Nothobranchius furzeri: one gene and its partner. The protein of the gene in region 1 purifies or fractionates together with the protein of each later gene. This does not show direct contact. Links are inferred from orthologs where the notes say so. Each region holds a gene or a part of one and is shown in the gene's direction. Other genes may lie near its edges. The genes, in order: parp12a and rnf114.

Region 1 (9,738 bases):
CCTGTTCTGATTCTTGACTTCTAAGTGTTTGTTTCTGCTATGTGGGGGAGTTTCACTGGACTTTGACAATCACCAGAGCTAGTTATTCCAAACTTGATTCTGCTTTCAGGAGAAGAAATGGCTCTCTGTTGGCTCCACTTCCTTCTGTGAGTCTTCAAGGCCATCTGGTAAAAAAAAACAGATACTATGTGTTAGTGTTTTGAACGCTACAACTCGGCGTTTTCCCTTCCCATACCAGCCAGACTTTTGTCGGTGAAGTAGAAAAGATGATTCCATCAGATCATGCTCGAGAAACAATAATAATAATAATAATACCTTTTATTTCAAGCGCCTTTCAAAGCTCTCAAGGTCACTGTACAAGACAAAATATAAGGAACAGCAAGCAATACAAACAAGAAATAAGTGCTAAGAGTAATTGCCAAGGGTAGATTCACAGCAGTACAATGACTAAAAAGAGTAGGTGGAAGGAGGACAGTTACATTGAGTAAGCCAGGCGGAACATGTGAGTTTTGAGTTGAGACTTGAAGGTTGAGAAAGAGATTATATTGCGGAGGTCAGGCGGTAGAGTGTTCCAAAGTTTTGGAGCGGAGTGGCTGAAAGCTCTGGCTCCCATAGTACAGAGACGAGTGCGAGGAACAGACAGGGAAGGTGAACATGATGATCGGAGCGAGCGAGTGGGAGTGACAATGTGGAGGAGATTAGAAAGATAAGGGGGAGCGAGATTATGGATGGATTTAAAGGCATGAAGAAGTATCTTATAGTCAGTTCTGTATTTGACAGGGAGCCAGTGAAGTTGTTGCAGGACAGGGGTGATGTGATCAAAAGTGGAGGTCTTGGTGATTATCCGGGCAGCTGAATTTTGGACTAACTGTTCACCAACACAGTTCACCTGGAGAATGTTAAAATGTCAGTTTACCTCAGCAACCCCAACCTTTGTCTCCCACTTGTGGATGCTCTGCTGCAGTTTCTTGTGTTTGTCCTTGGCACACACATACTCCGTGATACCAGGAGCCTGGTGATGCGCGAGCTGCTCACGAAGGAGCCTGTTCTTGTCCTCAACCTTTAATCGCTCCTGAGGACGGGAGAAAAAATAAAAAATCTGTGCAAAGGAGAAGTTCTAAGAAAGGGACAGAACGTGTTTTATTTAAAACAGATGAATCAAAAAATGAAGAAATTTAAATAATGCCATTTTTTTTACTTGTTTTTTAAAAGTGCTGCTTTTGGGTACTTAATTCTTTTACCGATCGATAAAAAATTACTTTGGACTTTGTAAGCCATAATGAGTTTTAGCTTTTATGCTGTTTAAATACACAAGAATGAACCTTTTCAGCATGATGTATTTCCTGTTCAATTTTTGCAAGCATTAGTTTTCTTTTCGAGATGTCATTGCTCAACTCTGCAGACACCAGCATCACACTCTGCAGCTTCTCCTGCTCTCAAAAGAACACAACGATGCACAGATTTAACTATCTGGATTGTTACGATGCTACACATCACACTAGATGATTCACGGGGAGCTACTGTACCTTGTGCACGCTGAGGACATGCTGTACCTTACTATAGTTGCATCGGTGTTCATCGAGGCTTCTGTCAAATCTGGGTTCATCATACTCGAGGAAATACACCTTCACACAAGGAACAAAAAAGTAATCTGGTTCAAGATTAAAACTCAATGAACAATCTGAAGGTTTTTAAGCGAATGACAAATGAAGCTACTGATTATTTTTGCAAATCCTCCCAGAATACATATGTGACAGCATTTAAGCCATAAATGATATATTTCTTGTTTTACCTGATATTCTGCCTTTTCCATTTCGTTTTTCTGAAGGAGTTTCTGCAGAAGAGTTTTTTCCTGGACCTTCAGTGCTTGATTTTTTAGATTAAACCTCTCCAACTGAACAATCTGTTGGAGAAATGTGGTTTAAAGTACATTTAAAAACTATACATTACTTTTGTGATCAAAAAAGAGGAATTGTTTCTATGCAAAACTTCCTTGTATGTGGTCAGTGAATCAGATTCCATTTTCACCTTTGACCTGTCTTCAGTGTACTGCAGCACCTTCTCTGGCTCCTTCATTTCCAGTAGGCCATCCTTCATAGATTTCATTAACCTGTGTTCAAACTCCTTCTTAGACTTTCGAATCTCAGCTAAACGCAATTCTGCTTCTTTCACAGCGGCCTGGACAGCAAAGCAGAACACTTAAACAAGGATCTGCGTACACAGAAATGATGCGTATCCAAACGTATGTTGTAACCTTGTAGTTGTCCTGGATTTTCTCATATTTCTGTTTAAGCTCTTCGTGATCTTTCCGTGTATCTGTTATTTCTCTCTGTATTAAGAAGATTTTTTGCTCCAAGGTCAGCAGCTGGTCGCAGTCTGATGAGATGTAGCGGGGCTTTTGCCTCCTGTCAACATTCTGAACACACACACACACACACACACACACACACACACACACACACACACACACACACACACACACACACACACACACACACACAAACACAAATATTAATAATGTTTGTATCAAAATCACAATGCAACACTGACACATACAAAGTGGTGGTATTTGGAATGGTTCACATGGGTTGCAATCCGCTCACCACACAGTCCAGTTGGGAGTGTCCAGCTGCTTGTTGACCTTCTCCACCATCCCCCTGAAATTCCTTGGGATCCAGGCGTTTGATAAAGCATTCAAACACGTGATTCTCAGCCAGGAGGGCTACATTAGGATCCCTTGATGACAGCACATAAGTGTCAACAAAACTGACCAAACAATTAGTGCACTTCACTTTAAATATAATGTAAGGGGTTCTTGTCTTTTTGCTATCAAATATGGACCACATATGAAAGAAATCAACTTTAATGTTACGAAAAAATTGTGCTAAATATAGCCATGCTGCAAACAGAAGTGTTAGCATTAGCGAGTGGGTTTTAAAGCCTTAAAATAAAAGTTCTATACATCCGTTCTGTTCACCTTAAATCCTTCTGATGTTTGACAAGAAGCGTTTTATGTTCTTCTGTGACCTTCTTAGTGTTTTCTTTCATCTTGTCCTCCATTGTTGTCGATTCAGTAGTTGCCATGGAGTCGCGTTGCGTTCACGTACCTCCTGGGCAAAAAGCAGAACTATGTAAAAAATGTGTTTTGTGCATTTGTTTACATTTATGTTTGAGACTGTGGTCGTGTTATTTTTGTTCTATTTTTGTTTCTGAATGATTTTATAGTTTTTATTAATTTTTAGGAGTTAGATGTCCTTTTACAGTATCTTGTTTTTCTTTTTTAGTTAAGTTTCTGTTTCGTTTTTCAGCACAAGAGGCGTGTTTTCAGGTCAGCTGTTCCATCATTTAGAGTTCTCTGATAATCTCTTCCCTAGCTCTGTCCAGAATGGCACCGAACTTTTCCAAACTAATTATCGGGATTCTGTGTGACAACCAGGGATGTTTGGACTTCGGGCAGCTGAATGAGCTGGCGCACAGTCATTTCGGCTTTGAAGTGGAAGACTTGCAGTCTATTCTCTTCGATGACGGGTTAATAGCGATCCAAGAGGACAAACAGCAAGTCTCCGGCCTTAACGAACTCAGTCCAGAGGGTCTGGTGGTGGCTAAAACCGCACTGAGGATTTGCCAGAAAAAATACGTACAGTGCGCGAAGTGCGATGGGTTACATCTGTGCAAGTATTTTGTTTGTGGAGGCTGCACGTTTGGGTAAGTTGTCTCATAAAACAATTTAATGGGCTTAGAAACATTATTTAATTTTTTTTGGAGCACATGCACACAAGCTGGACTTTGAGAAAAACTTGACATCCAATTACCTTTAATGTTGATATGTTGTTTTTGTAGAGTGTTTCTGGTTAATTGCTTGTTTTTTTAAAGGAAAGAATACTTTGAAATGACGCAGTTCAGGAAATACTTTACCTTTCCAGAAGGGGGCAGTACATAACCATTATCCCCTCCATCTCAGCCGCTGTACTTGGGGAAAAAATATAATAAAGTCATTTTAAAAAGTAATAAAAAAATGTTTCCACCAACTCAAGTGTGGTTAGGCCTACATGATTTTCCATGACCAGACTGGATTTTGTCCTCAGTATAACAACAAATTTACAATAAACAGCTGTTTAATAGACAGTGAAATGACATTCGTCATCCAGCTATGAATTCATAAACAAACTCAATATGATAATACTTAAACTAAATTAATGCAGATTTAGCTTGCTGTTAATGACCATGAACAATGTTTTCTGGCGTGGCTCGATATTCTGCTTATCAGCCAAGATTTAGATCGATGTATTTTATTTTTTTAATTGAATAAAGTAAACATTTTAAGTCCTGGGCATATTGTTTTTAGACCAAAGTGTAAAAACCCACACAGCCTGGATTCCCCACACAATACAACGGTTTTGGAGAGATTTGGGCTTCAGGAATTGACTGAAAAACAACTGTTCCAACTCTTACTGCAGAATGATCCTTATCTTCTTCCAGAGGTAGGCTTTAGCGGCTGAAAATAATAACCCTTCCTCATGATGGAATAGTATTAAAATTACGTTCTCAACCGTTTCACTCAGGTGTGCTCACATTACAACAAGGGAAATGGTCCATTTGGCTCTTGCCAATTCACGACCTCCTGCACAAAGCTCCACATGTGCCAGCACTCCCTCCAGGGTGACTGTAGGTTTGGGTCTTCGTGTAAAAGAAACCATCAATTTACCGAGAATGAAATGAAGCTTTTCCGGGGCTATAGCGAGGAGAATATTCAAAATCTTTACAAGATCTACAAAAATAAACTCATCATCATGGGCAAACACGAGAGGCAAGCTGTGGTTCTCCCAGGTAAAAAGTTTGTTTTCTGCCATTTTAATCTGAGATGCAAAGATTCTAGACTAAATGTGAGTTTCCTACAGCTCCTCCAAAGATGAACGTTCCACAGCCTCCCCCCTGCAACCCCGGATCTCCCACCAAGCCTGTGTGTCCAAAACCAGTAAGTGCTGCTGGGAGGAATGAAATCTTGCATAACATTTGCACGTCCCGCTGCTTCAAAGGTAATGATTCTGCTGATGGAGCAGACCAGTTGCATCTATAGTGCAGTGGATGCTCATGCATGTTTCACTTAGTTTATTCTTTGTGTGTTCTGTCACAGAGGCTTGTGGTCATGTTCACTGGGGTCTGCCCTACAAATGGGAGGTTTTAGACCAAGATTGTGTGACTTGGAAGGAGTTGCCCAATATGGAGGACATAGAGAAGGCATACAGTGACCCTTCACGTGACACAAGCGCCGTGTGTCTACCGCCATCTGCTTCAAGGTTAGGGCTTCTTGGAGCTTGGAATGTGTGGTACACAAACAAACAAAAATCTGATTTCCTACTCCTCTATGGTTTAAAAATGTTCTTATGAGGGTTCTGTCCTCCTTTCAGGTCTGTGTCTAACATTAAAGAGCCAGTCACCCCTTACAAGAAGCGTACTTCACTCCCACTTCATGTTTGAAAAATGCAACAAATGCTGTTGCCTAGCAGACCGAGAGGGTGGAGCCACTAACAAATACACACACTCATGACATTGTGACATCATAATGTACCAGTTTACATCATAGCATACCTCTTAGCCAATAGCGGTGGCAGATTTAAATTCAAATGCAGTGAAGAGTTTTTACCTGACAACGGCGCAACACTGACAGTTTCAGGCAGAACATTTAAATTTTAACTAAAATGCACCAAAGTGCTAAACTATTGACTACACGTGTCTGCAGCACGATTAGACACGCATTTATATAGTTTATCAGAAAAAAAAGTTGATTTGGGGGTGACTTGCTCTTTAAGAAGTGTGTTGACTTTAAAACCATGACATATGGAGGGTCTAAAGTCCGTCGCCTGCCCACAGCCTCCTCTGTCTTACACCCATCACACTTTACTCTCCCAACACAGTGGGTTTGGTACTGGCAGCATGAGAAAGGGTCATGGCTCGAGTATGGACAGGTAATCTGAGCTGATTATTTAACAAAACTGTGTATTTTAATGTTTGAATTATTTTAAAGGCATATTTTGGCCATTTTGTAGTGAGTCCCTCAGTGAAATGTAGACAATCACCGTCTCACCCTTAGCAGATTGCTTTCTCCCAGGCCTGATTTTTAAGCAATAGCTTTGAGCTAACAGCCAGTCCATCCATCCATCCTTTGTCTGCACTCGCTTTGTTCATGTAGGATGGGGGGGGGTGGGGGGGTGGGGGGGGGGGGGGCTGGTGCCTATCTCCAGCGGTCAATGGGCAATCAGGCAGGGTACACCCTGGACAGAGAGCCAGTCCATCACAGGCTAACAGCTAGTATGAGACTATAGTGCAGGGGTGCCCAATCCTGGTCCTGGAGGGCCGGTGTCCAGCAGGTTTTGTGGTTTTTCTGCTCCAACACACTAAATTAAATGGTTGAATCACCTGTGCAGCATCTCATCAGGCTCTGCAGAAGCCTATTGATCACCTGCTGATTGAAATCAGGTGTGTTGAAGCAGAATTAAAACTAAAACATGCTGGATATCGGCCCTCGAGGACCAGGATCGGGCACCCCTGCTATTGCTGCCTTTTCAAATTTCTAAATGACAAAGCAGTCCATGCTAAATTATTTTAATAGCATAAATGCGGCACTTCTGGTGTATCCATCAACCCTGCAGGAATGTAAAACGTTATGTGCAAATACACGTGGGCTGCATGGTGGCGCAGTGGTTAGCACTGTTGCCTCGCAGCACGAAGGTCGCAGGTTCAAAACTCAGCTGCGGCCTTTCTGCGTGGAGTTGCGTGTTCTCCCCATGCATGCGTGGGTTTCCTCCGGGTACTCCGGCTTCCCCCACAGATCACAACATGCCCTATAGGTTATAAATTGTAAGTCGCTTTGGATAACAAGCGTCTGCCAAATAAATAAACATAAACATGAATGAACTGCAGTGGAGCAGTAACATGTTAGACCTTGATTGTGCTCAAATTAGCCATTAGCTCATCAGTGTAGAATATAAGCCCTTTGCTCATACATGCAGCAAGGATCAAACTAAAACGTAAACTTGTCTTGCCCTTCTCATTTTATTATTATTATTATTTATTTTTTTTTTTTATAAATAATCCATTTCATCTCATTCAAAGTCTAAATTTTCTTTTGTTGCTGCTTTTTCTGGCGTGTTTCTAGGGTGGGGGCGATGTCACAGTCACTTCTCACAGCCTGGAAAAGATGTACCTGGAAAACCGGGAGAAGGAGATTGCTTTCCAGGCTGGTGAACATAAATACGTTCTCCATTTGAATGATGCAGCAGGAACCCAGCAGATGTTCCAGCAGAATGTCGAACACAAAACCAAAAGAGAGGTGCGAAGGAGGCCTCGCTTTGTGTCTGCTGAGGATGTGAAGAAGGCCAAAAAGTAACTTAAGTTATGTATTTTATTATTTATTTAATGTATCATTATATTTCTGTATTAATTATACTTCTGCTGCATTCTTACACAGCTCCAGCAGCTCTTCCACAGATTCAGTTGTCCCATCTCACTGGGACAAGAAAGCCCTGCCTGATTTGGGGTTTGAGGTGCCTGATTATTGAGTACATTTACGTTAACCTGGTTGTTTAGTTCCATAATCATCTCTGAACACATAACTGCACCTTTTGATGACTATGCTATCTTTCAGTTCGTGCTCCTCTCCAGCTCCTCGCCAGATCATAACATGATCCAGACATTGTTCAAATGCACCATGCGTCAAAGCAAAATCAAAAGCATCCAGAGGATTCAGAACCCCTCTCTGTGGAAATCTTTCCATTGGTAAAACGTTGCCAATTCATGAACACAATACTTGGTTGCTTTGCTCGCGGAGATGCTCGGCATTTATACCTTTTATTCTTCACACTGGGAGTGAATGTGCAATGCTTCATTTTCAGCCAGAAAGAGCAGATGCAGAAGACGAATGGTGGGAAAACTGTGGATGAAAGATATTTGTTCCACGGGACAGATGAGCGCCTGGTGGATGAGATTTGCGATCAAAACTTTGACTGGAGGGTGTGTGGATCTCACGGGACAGTGTACGGCAAAGGCACGAAAAACAAGACTAAATGATTTCATTTTTCTTTCCAAAAACATTTTTTCGGTGTTTATAAATGTGCTTATAAATATTCTTTGCAGGGAGCTATTTTGCCAAAGATGCATCCTACTCTAACAAGTACTCCAGAGCCAAAGGTGGTCGGAATAAGGTCATGTTTGTCGCTCTGGTCCTGGTGGGGGAATACACGCTGGGTAGACACAGCTACGTTCGACCACCACCGAAGAAGGGCAGCAGAACTCTCTACGACAGCTGCGTCAACTCGGAGACCAACCCCAGCATATTTGTTATCTTTGAAAAACAGCAGATTTACCCAGAGTATTTAATCATGTACCAGTAAATCAAATCCTCTGCAGTTTGATCTGGAAACGGTTTAGTGGAGGGAAGCGTTTAAGTCTGATTGCTGCCATCGTTGGTATTTGGGTATTCTATCCAAACTAGAACTTAGTCAAGTTCAAAGTCACAATTTTAAACAGAAATCTGCTCACAAAAGTTCAGCAGCAGATATGTGACAAGTTCTATTGGGCCTCTTGTTTCCTTTCATGTTACTTTTCATTACAGAGAAGTTAGATTAAAATGTAAAAAGTTTGTGCAAATTAAGAGTTATAGAGGTGCAGCTGCTTCCCCATACTGACCACCTTTACACACGTCATTTAGGATCTAATAGTCTGACATTTAGCTCATAAAGAGTGAAACATCCCAAGGTGGCACAGCTTTAAGGGAACACAAAAACAATAAAAGGTATAAATACAAATCCAAATACTCATATTAAGAGCTAATGTTAAACTTGAATGAAAAAACATGATTTCAAGATCAGATTTTTATCAACAGTATGAAGCAATCATCCATCAGCTGGGGGCTCTATCGTGTTTATTATGTTAATGGACTTTTTAGTTGGATGGAAAGTAAAAGTTCATACCTTAAAACCAGATTTATTTGCAGTTATGGGATTAAAAGGGCAGGTAAACGTAAAATGACCTAAAAAGATTGTCTCATAATGTGGAAAGCAGTGTTTTGCTCGTTTGAACTAAATATATTTTTGGACTTTTATTCTGAAAATGTTAATAAACATAACAAACTTACCATTTTGATATTTTGCTTTGAGGCTTTATTTTTTCTCTACTGCGTCTGTGCCTCGCCAGTATTAAGATATTATTTGTGTTGAAAGTTTCCAATACAGCAGACTCTTTGAGGGTAATTAGTAAGTTTTATTATTACAAGATGTTCAGAATTCAGCAGGAACACTAAAAAGAAATAAGAGATGCATGTTTAGACGCTTCTGCATCATATTACTGCATCAATTTTAAAATTTACATTTAAAATAAATTCAGAGTGGGAAAAGTGACGAATGAAAAGAAATGTAGTGAGCAGGGCCGTGCAGAGACCGCTGAAGGGGCGGGTGCTCAAAGTAAATTAAAGGGCACATATAGAGCAAATTTTTTAAACAGATTTACGATCCAACAAGTTTGAAAATTCAGATAATGAGATCCTTGGGTTCTAACAACAATATAAACTAGGAAAAATATGTTATTTAGTATCATTAATTGAAGGTAATGTTAGTTCATAAATAATTGTTTTAGTTTTTAAAGCTGACATATCTAGAGATGTTATAACCACATTTTTGTCCAAGTTGTTTGATTTTTGATTATCTTCCAATACTGAGTCCTGTTCCGGTACGAGGTAGTAAT
Region 2 (9,484 bases), on another chromosome or scaffold:
CATGTTAAGACTAAATTTACTGAATTAAGTCTTCGTATTCAGACAAGATAAAAGACTTGTCCCCTTTTTTTGTAATAAGGTTGGCCTGTCCCAGATGAGAAGTCACACAGCTAATTGTTCAAAGTACCAGGAGTACATCGAGGAGGGGGTGAGGACCACTTCCCAGAGCCAGCCTCCAGTTATCAGGTGAGATGCAACACACACATTTGTGACCCAATTCGGGCAAAACTCCAGACATTAGTTATCTCACACACCGCCTGCTGAAGAGCACACCATTGTGCTTTTGTTGTGTTTCGCTGTTCTGTAAGCAGGAGATATTGTGGCTGAGCCTCATCACCAAGTGGGAAAGTAAGTTGTGGCGTGGCAGCAGGTCAGTGTTGGTTCAGGTTACAAGTTTGATGCCAGATAAACAAACGTATTCTCTGAAGGCACAGACTGAAGCTGGTTTTGTTTCATTTAATCAAGGTTTGATACAAATTAAAGGAGCAATCGTTCTTTTCTCCTGGAGACATGTTCATCACTTTTTCACTATTTGTTAAAAGAGTCGGCTCACGACCGCCGAAACCGTTTAGGTCTTCCACGATTATGAAATCCAAATAAATTTTAAAAAATCATCAGAAGTTGGGCCTTACGTGCCGAAACAAAATGGCGTGGTGCTGCAGGTAAAACCACAAGTGAAAGTAAGTTTAAGCAGAAAGATCCAGTAACAGAGTGACGCTTTGGATCAAACTAACATGTTTACGGTTTGCTGGACCTGACGAACCAAATAAATGCGTTTCTTCATCACCTGGTAGTTTAAATTAGCCTAGTGAACTAGACCAAATTCTTGCTTTGCAAAGAATGGTCTAGGCACGCTCCATTGGAACCTCAGCAGCTCCTACCAGGACTCTGGCTAGCCAATCACAGCTCTCTAGAGGGGTTTCAAACACATAAAGAGCTGTGATTGGTCCATAATGGTGGGCCAATCATAGTGCTCTATCTGCTTAGTGAACAAATCACAGAGCTTTATCCGCTTTGTGGGCCAATCAGGGTACTCTATATATGCCTGGTGGGTGGGATGATGCAACAGAGGGAAACAAGAGTATAGCCTGGTTTATGCTTCTCCGTCAGCTCCGCAAGGGACAGACACGCACGGATTGACGGAAGCGTTTTGCTCTTTTACTTCTCCGTCTCCTGGAGAGTGTTGCAAAGCAATTCCCCGGCAGGACAACAGAGGGTGTAGCGCTGTTCTGTGGTGTCCTGTCATGTATCGGTCCAAGATAGTGTGTTTATATAGTGTTTTTTGTGTTTATAAGAGACTTTTAACACGGACATATTTGTCTCTCATTCTCCCACCGCTTCATGCACTCCCCACCTCTAAACCCACGTTTCCTGTCATTTCCGTCCACAAATAAAACGCTTGCTGCGCATCTTTTCTCTCCTCCAGTCACGGGAGAATTAAACGTTCATATTTTTTGAGTTTTTTCGTGAGATATTCTTCAAGCTTCTCCGTGTCTGCCGCTAGTTATCCTCGGCTCTCGTTGCAATGGCGGCGCTGTAAACAACAGCGGCATCCTGACCAATCACAAGCTTGCGTAATCCGTCTCGTTCGACGGATGTTTAAAAAAGTGGGCTCGACTCCGTACGTACTTGCGTGCCCTACGCAAGGACGGATAATGGCGTTGCGTGTCTCCGCACTGACGCAGACGGAGAAGCATAAATCAGGCTTATGTCACATTCATTGTCCAGTGGAATGCGGAGATCATTTGAAAGACAACGGTAGAACCCGCCCCACAACCGAGAGCCGTCAATGGAGCGTGGCCAGACTAAATAATACATTTATTTAGTCTGGCTTGCCAGGCTAAGTTTAAATGCCATAACATCTTTTCACGATAATGACAAATGTTGGAGAGTTGGATGGATGTAGGCAGAATAAAGTCGATTCGATCAGACTAAACAGGAAATATCTTGGTTTCAAATAAAAACTAAATCTAATCAAACCTTTTCTCTCCTGATAAAGATCTTCGGTTTTGCATGCAAACATGTTGGTGCACGTGGCTTAGTGTCGTGAAGTCAGACGCAAGTGGATTTCTGCTTTCTCTATTATTACCACTGACTCTCATTAGGGAGGGGAGGGGGAAAACCAATCACATTTTGTTTCCTAAAATAAAAACACGCACACACTTCTTCCATCGGTCCAAGAGAGGTGATAGATGTGTTTGATCTATGCTGAGATTTTGCAACTGAAAGCTCATTTACTTGGTTTCAATGATAAAAAAAAATGGATCTTGTAAAGTTGAGTCCCAGAGATTTAGTTCCTGCCAGAACTGAAATGAAGTCATACTGACGTTTACTGATTTGTATTCACAAGAGATTAAAAGTGTAATAAAATAGTCATAAATCAAGTTCATATGGTATATTATGATAAACCACAATTACTGTAATGGCAGCTATTTGTTTTTGCTGTGTAACCTTATGATCTGTATGTACTTTTCTTATGCGAGTCACAGATCCTCACTCATGTTTTCATAAAATGTTCCGTGTCTCTCTTCCCCTGTCTAGCGGTTTCTGCAGGTTGTGGGTAGGGTTACCATTATAGTCTGAGAAATAATCCTTGATGGCAACTGGTCAGAGTTATGGTTAACGCATCACATTTATTAAAGTCATCACTTAAGGGATATTCCACCCCGGAGTTAAACGTAGCTTGTTGCCACATTCCCCAGAGTTGGAGAAGTCTGTAAAAACATTCTGTAACAGTCATTTTCCTAATCTGGCAGTAACCTGTTAGCTTTAGCTTAGCATAAACAATGTAAGTGAATGGTAACAACTAGCACTGTCTCCTCCGTGTTTACTGTACACCATTTACAACATTTCACCTTTCTATTTCTATGATATGATTATTGAGGTCCCCAAGAAAAATTAGGATCATTATTGAGAAATGTTTATGAATTATTATAATGCTAGCTGTTACCATTCACTTATATTGTTTAAACTAAGCTAAGGCAAACAGAATACTGCTACATTAGAAGACTGGCTGACCTCTTTACAAAACGTCTTTTCCCACTTAGCTGACTGAGGAATATGGCCACAGACTGAATTTCACTTAGGGTGGAATATCCCTTTAAGGACGGAAGCACCTAATAAAATGAGACGCTAACTTCCTTCTAGTGTAATAGTTGGATGTCTTTAAATATAATTTCTCCTTGTTGACATCTGTATTTTCATTAGTAAGAATACTATTTAGACAAGGATACATTATCTTATTGCTGTGTAGGAATTACAAAGAGGTGCTGTTGAATAAATGTTAAAATGACTTGCCGTACTTAACTCCTATATAGACAATACAAGGGAAACGTAGTACAACAGTAATCCATGAACCCTTGTTCACTGATTGTTCTATTATTATTATTAAATCACTTCAGTTGCTAATGTAATCTGACTCAGTTGGAGCTTATGTGTCTGCTTGATGATCCCAGAGGTGATGAAACAAGTTGGAGATGCCACATTTTTTTTCTTCATATGGGCAAGCCATTGTCCCGAATTCCTTTTTTTAACGTCTTTCAGAATCGCATATATTCCCACACAGGAATTCTCATGCACTTCCTAGGTGGAAACGGAGCTTCTGCCGTGATCCGGGTGCATCCATTCGAGTTAGACTTTTTGTCCATACGGGTCGCACCATTTGTTTTATTTTGGTGATGATGTTGGAGAAGTGTTTCACTCCGCGTTTAATAGTAAAGCCGGTTAACAGCTGCAACCCTAGTCATGACTGTGGACTATCTCTGCTAGCTCCTGTGAGGGTATTCCCAGTGCAGCATAGAGATCTAATCCCTCTAGCTCATCCTGGCCTTTGGGTTCCCAACCCCATCTTTAAGGCTGAGTCTTCCCACCCTGCAGAAGTATCTCATTTTGGCTGTTAGTCATAACCCAAAGCTCATGTCTTCTGGACCAGTAAATCAAAGTCTTCACCTTCCATCTTGGCTTTCTCTTGAACAGATTAGTTTAGTGTGCCCATCACTGCAGCCGCTGCCCAGATTCACCTGTCTGCCAGTGGCGTGTGTGCCCTCTAACTGCAGTGAGGTGATGAATAAATATCAACATAGTGTTTCTGTTTCCTTCCCATAGTTCGGTGCCAAACAGGTACACCTTCTCCTGCCCCTACTGCAACTGCCAGAACCTGGATCAGGATGGCCTGGTTGAACATTGCACTTCCCAGCATGCTCGAGATCCACGCCAAGTGGTAAGGGATCCACATGGTTCTGTGATCGCCCTCATCCTACAAACTGTCTGCTTAAGTCAGTTCTTTGGTGCAGGTGTGCCCTATCTGCGCCTCGATGCCTTGGGGGGATCCTAATTACAGAAGCACCGACTTTTTCCAACACCTTAAGATCAGACACACATTCTCCTATGATACATTTGTTGTAAGTTAAACACTATTAATAATTTAATGTTAACCTTGCCAAATAAACCCTTATTAATTATTTTTTCCTTTCTTCCCTGGCGCTCGTTCATCTTAAGGACTACTCCACAGACGAAAACACAATGATTCAGGAGGCTTTACAGCGCTCCCTTTTGGACAACTGAAGAGCGAAGAACAATCTGGCAGAACCAGAAATTTAGAGAAAACGGGAGGAAATTGTCTTGAAAAGATGCAACTATACACTGTCATCATGCATCTGGTGTAACTGAGCTGCTTTGGGTAATTATTTTCACGGGGATGTTATGTTGTATCTATAAATCTGTAGGTTTAATAAAAAAATCTGTCAATATGTTAAAAAACATTGTTCTGTTTGCTCTAGGAGTGTCAGTGTTTATCCTTTCTTCTCCTCCACTGAGCCTGTCCACTTGATTTGTAGTCAGCATCTCCTTAATTATGTTTTAAGTAATTTGTTTAATAATGAGCAAATGTCATTTAACCAAAAAACTTCCAAAGTTGTGATTAAAAATGTTGTCAATACTTGATGTAATGAGGTGGTTTGACCACTAGGTGGCTAACTAGTGCAGCAAAGACGAACTTGATCAATAGGTTGTCCTATCAGTGAGACGACATCCTGCTTCTGATTGGCTGTGCATGAGAACTCTCTTAAGGCAATGTGTTCCTTTTTCTTGTTGTCGTTTCCTGTCAACGTGTGTGTGAGAGTGATGAATGTTGGTTTTTTTCAGAGATCTGGGAAGAATAAATAACGAGGGTTGAGCAGAGTCAGAGACAGCTGTTTGCTTCATTGTAAAGTTTCTCCTTTGTGTCTTTGTGCCTTCTAGTAGATCGTGTTTCTAACTTCCAGAACTCCACAGGGCTACTTGTTCATGCAAGGCATCTGAGGTCTCATTTGATGAGCCTGATGCTCTTACGTTTAGTTCTAGTGTAGTTGCACGTTCATTACCACAGGGGACAGTAGAGTTCTACTCTATCCATGGTGTCCGGTGACACTCCCAAGCCTCTGAGTTTATACAAGTCATTACATCTAAATTAACAGCGTTTTCCCCACAAATACATGATTTTGTTCATATGCAGCAAATAAAAATGTGTATTTAAAGTAATGGTGTAAGGCTAATCTATCTGAAATACAGCTGAAACTGCAGTTAAGGTGAAATCACTGGACAAATGTGTCACGAACATTAAAATGAACTAGCTGTAATGTTTGGGATAGTCTTTATAATGAGTAAACATGATAAAGTTCATGTGTATTTTTTATTTATATTTCTGGTTTGAATTAGAACCAAACTATCATTTGAAGTTAAATAACTATAACTAGTCTTGTTTTCTGAGTGTTTTGTTTTAATTTGTAAATGTAAATTAAACCAGTTGTCTTTAATATTTATGGTCAGGCTCATGTTAATACCTTCATGCTTTTTTGATTAAACAGCTAAACTGTCTAAACATGCAGTTTAGCAGCTCTAGTGCTGAACCGTTTCACCTTCACAGCCGCTCCTTGGTTAGGCCTATGGATGCTTTCAGTCTAGTTTTAAAATGTGTCATCATGTGTGTTTCTGGTGTATAGTAACATTTTCTTCTTTCTTGGGGTGTGTGTGTGTGTGTCATTCTCTTTTGTCAGCTCTACTGCCAGGAGGTGTTAAATCCTGATGAATTAAAGCTCTTTAATTATTTAAACCCTGGCCCCGGAGATCAGGTGCTGCAACTTATACCTGTGTGTGTGTGTGTGTGTGTGTGTGTGTGGTGGGAGGAGGAGTGGATAACCATGTTGTGTATGATGACATAAGGAAATGATGAGCTGTGTGGAAAACTCCATATTTGGTTGTTTTCAGAATAAAGACAAGAATTGTAAATTTGATGTAGAATAAAGAAGAGCTTTCCACAAAACTTCTGAGTCCTCTTCAGTCGACATCGTTCACATGGGAGATTAAATCCTTACAGCTTCTAAATCTAATCGTCAAATTATATCACTGTTATCTACAAAGAGACTAAACTTCATGTAAGCTCCCCCACCTCCTCGTTTCTTATATTTTCATCCCTTTCACCCTAATCGGGTTTTTGCTCCTGGCAGATGCAGAAGTGATGTTAGCTGAGAGAGAGAGAGAGAACTAACGAGATACCCAAGTGCTTCTGGGCAGGAAGGAAGTGGAGTCTAAAAACATGGCAGAAAGAAGTCTTTCTTGTCTGTTTGGTGGCACATCTTAAAAGGGAGTGAGAAAGGCGGGGAATGTTAAAGGTAAGAAGGAATAGGGGGAGGAAAGGAAGAGAAGTGAACACATTGAATAAAAATTTCATAAAGTACTGTGTGTGGTTTCTTTGATGAAAGTGTGGATGGTGTGTGTGAAGTCTGCAGGCTCCGTGGAGGCTGCAATTAATGCTACATGAAGCCAAAGGGCTCAGTGAGAGGCACACGGGTGCTCCATTGTTTGGAGCTACATCTTGAACCTTCTTGTCCACCTTTGATTAAAACCTGATCACGTGGGCTCAGATCCTGGATGCAATTAATCTGATTTTTTGTTTTCTAGATGCAATTCCTTTGTAGTGAAGATAAAAACCAATATCTGAAAATTACACTAAACAAGTTTGGTTTTAAGGAAGTCCCATCAATCAAAGGCATTAACTTGTTTGCATGAGTGGCTGCTGTCATAATAAGTTTGCATGTACGATCTTAAAAAAACATTTAACAGTGCAAGACTCAGAAACTCCTAAAAAGCTTACATCTCCCTCTCTCAAGTCTTTGCTGAGACAGGTATCTGTGATGAGGTGTGTGTGAGGAAAGCACTGGGAGTTCGCTCACCCAAAAATTCCTCAAAGTCAGGAGAAACAGGAAGAGTGGGAATCCTGCTTCCCGGGTTACTGCAGCACCGCGGCAGGTCGGTCCTCGCAAATGTTTGAGCAAAAAGTGCCAGTGGGCTTCCCCGACATCAATACTGGTTCTACACCAACTCGTCTTCCGCTTTTAAACTCTTAACAACCTGCCCTTGCCATGCACACACTCACACACGCACACACTCACACACATGCACACACTTGTGTTTGCCTGAGAGCATCAAGTCTTAACTTTGATTCTAAAATGCCTGCAACCAACTTAATCCTGCATCAGCTGAACTTGCACACGTTGTGTAGCAGGTGTGTTTTAACCTTTTAGCTCTTTAAACATGAACTCGGAGCTGCCACATACAAATCAGAGGATTTTCATAACACCGTGTTTGTTTTTCTGACTGTAACACATATTCAGAGCACCTTCTGATTGTTCTGACATCTTGCTGGAAATGAACTCCACTGACCATGATTCCCCTCTTGGAGGTTTGAAAGTTCCCAAAATGCACTGTTCCTGCAGAAAATCTTCTGCTGGAAAATGAATATGAAAGATATGAAACGCTGATGACTCTCAGGAGAACTGCTAATCATTGCCTCTTCATTTATTTATTTATTTGAAATCCAGGCAGCCACTGTGCTAATATTTGAAAGTTGGGCCCTTTAAGGTGTAGAAGAAGGTAGGGTGATAAAATCCCAGTGTGTGTGTGTGTGTGTGTGTGTGTGTGTGTGTGTGTCACACACAGTAGAATATCACACCAAGTGAGGCGATTTGATCTTAAATCTTGCTCACCCTTCTCTACCCCCTGTGGAACAACTAAGATGTGCTTGGAAGAGAGCGAGGCCCACGGCTATTATTCTCCCATTAATTTTTCCATTTGAAATCAAACCTCGATGGGCGTGCATGAGGGAATAAGACGAAGGGAGAGGACCAGAGTGGGGATAACCTTATCCGGAAGGAGGTTGTAGCTGCATTAATGTCCAATAGGGGAGGCAATCTTACTTTCACAAGAGCTCCTGTTGGACTCTCTGCCAAAGCTTCTGGGTCCAGATGAAACAAAACAGGCACTTCTCCGCCTTCCATCAAAAGAAATGCATGCAAAAATTTCAAACAGCAATTATCCCGAACACATGAACAATTTAGAGGCCCTGTTAACCTCCATCTTACCTACCCACACAAAAACACACCTCCTCGACCTCATCCTTCCTCCGCGAGTCCCCTTCAATCCCAGTCCTTCCACCCCACCTTGTTTTTCCTCCGTCTTTCTTTGAAAAAGCGCCAGCACTTGCTAATCTGTCAATCAGACGTTGTCCTGTTGTGGCAATGATGAGGGGAGGGAGGAGGAGGAGAAAGGGGGTTCGGCGTGAAGGTGGGCATCCATCTCCAGCAGCTTGGCGTTGCTTGATGATTAACCAGGCAGGTAGTGAGTGAAACTGCTGACAGCAGAAACACACTGACAGCTGATTTGAAAGACAATGCTTCGGCTCCCTCTACTTAACTTGTCACGGCAATGAAAGCACCTTCTCAATTAACTTGTGACGTATCTGGAAGGATGGAGGGAAACATGGGTTAGGTCAACACAAACACGCAAACTGATAAAACACAACTGAGGAAGTGGAAAATCGGGTATCTTTTTGAATCGAAATGACCCAAACACAGCTTCAAAAGTAGCGTTGGTGCAGTTTGGGGGGTTCTGATCTCTGGGCTGGGCTCTAGCGATGGTTGAAATGTCACAACCAGAACAACAAATGAAACAAAGCCCCAGCATCTCAGAGTTTCTCAGATTAATAATCCAACACTTCCCAATTATTAACTGCCCCTGTAGTGTAACCTTTGTATTCAAAGCTTCCTCCACTTCCTGCGCTTTGTATCTTGTGTCTTTACAGGAGGGAATGAACGATGCAGGCAGATCTGTCAGTAAAACACACCCCCCCCTTCCCCAAACAGTGGTGGCTGCCCATAGACAGCCATCCATACACCTCTACTGGTTCCTCCTCAGCTCAATGAGTAACCAACCTGCAGGTCCTGAATCAAACTGCTGACAAGCATGGGAAGGTGGGGGGAACGATGGGCAGAGAGAAGGAAACAGAGGGGAAGACAGAGATGACAATGTATTCATTTTAGCCACGACGGAGCGCTCTCCTGTTCATCCAGCCTCTCAGCCCTCCCCTCCCTAACCCCCCGTCATTTTGCCTTCCCACTCTTTAAGTAGCATCCTTTGATGGGACGTCCCTGTCTCTCATCCTGTCCCCTTA

Evidence for each region.
Region 2: the proteins of parp12a (region 1) and rnf114 purify together in Homo sapiens (affinity purification with mass spectrometry; 3 studies listed by BioGRID and IntAct, counting the BioPlex papers as one, with this or other methods). This does not show direct contact. The link is inferred for Nothobranchius furzeri from reciprocal best matches to the Homo sapiens genes PARP12 and RNF114.

The regions. Positions count from the first base shown.
Region 1 is NC_091744.1:78,750,285-78,760,022, forward strand, and holds parp12a (protein mono-ADP-ribosyltransferase PARP12), read left to right. Parts: upstream 1-3,328; 5' UTR 3,329-3,385; coding exon 3,386-3,705; intron 3,706-4,345; coding exon 4,346-4,481; intron 4,482-4,562; coding exon 4,563-4,827; intron 4,828-4,898; coding exon 4,899-5,036; intron 5,037-5,134; coding exon 5,135-5,297; intron 5,298-5,408; coding exon 5,409-5,422; intron 5,423-5,805; coding exon 5,806-5,966; intron 5,967-7,156; coding exon 7,157-7,383; intron 7,384-7,468; coding exon 7,469-7,544; intron 7,545-7,645; coding exon 7,646-7,776; intron 7,777-7,892; coding exon 7,893-8,044; intron 8,045-8,133; coding exon 8,134-8,390; 3' UTR 8,391-9,141; downstream 9,142-9,738. Other genes in the region: cfap263 (cilia- and flagella-associated protein 263), read right to left, coding at 21-164, 917-1,072, 1,323-1,430, 1,527-1,625, 1,793-1,903, 2,029-2,178, 2,255-2,416, 2,604-2,736 and 1 more.
Region 2 is NC_091755.1:60,302,105-60,311,588, forward strand, and holds the end of rnf114 (E3 ubiquitin-protein ligase RNF114), read left to right. Parts: intron 1-79; coding exon 80-186; intron 187-4,104; coding exon 4,105-4,219; intron 4,220-4,292; coding exon 4,293-4,400; intron 4,401-4,497; coding exon 4,498-4,563; 3' UTR 4,564-5,178; downstream 5,179-9,484. UniProt on the Homo sapiens protein: E3 ubiquitin-protein ligase that promotes the ubiquitination of various substrates. In turn, participates in the regulation of many biological processes including cell cycle, apoptosis, osteoclastogenesis as well as innate or adaptive immunity.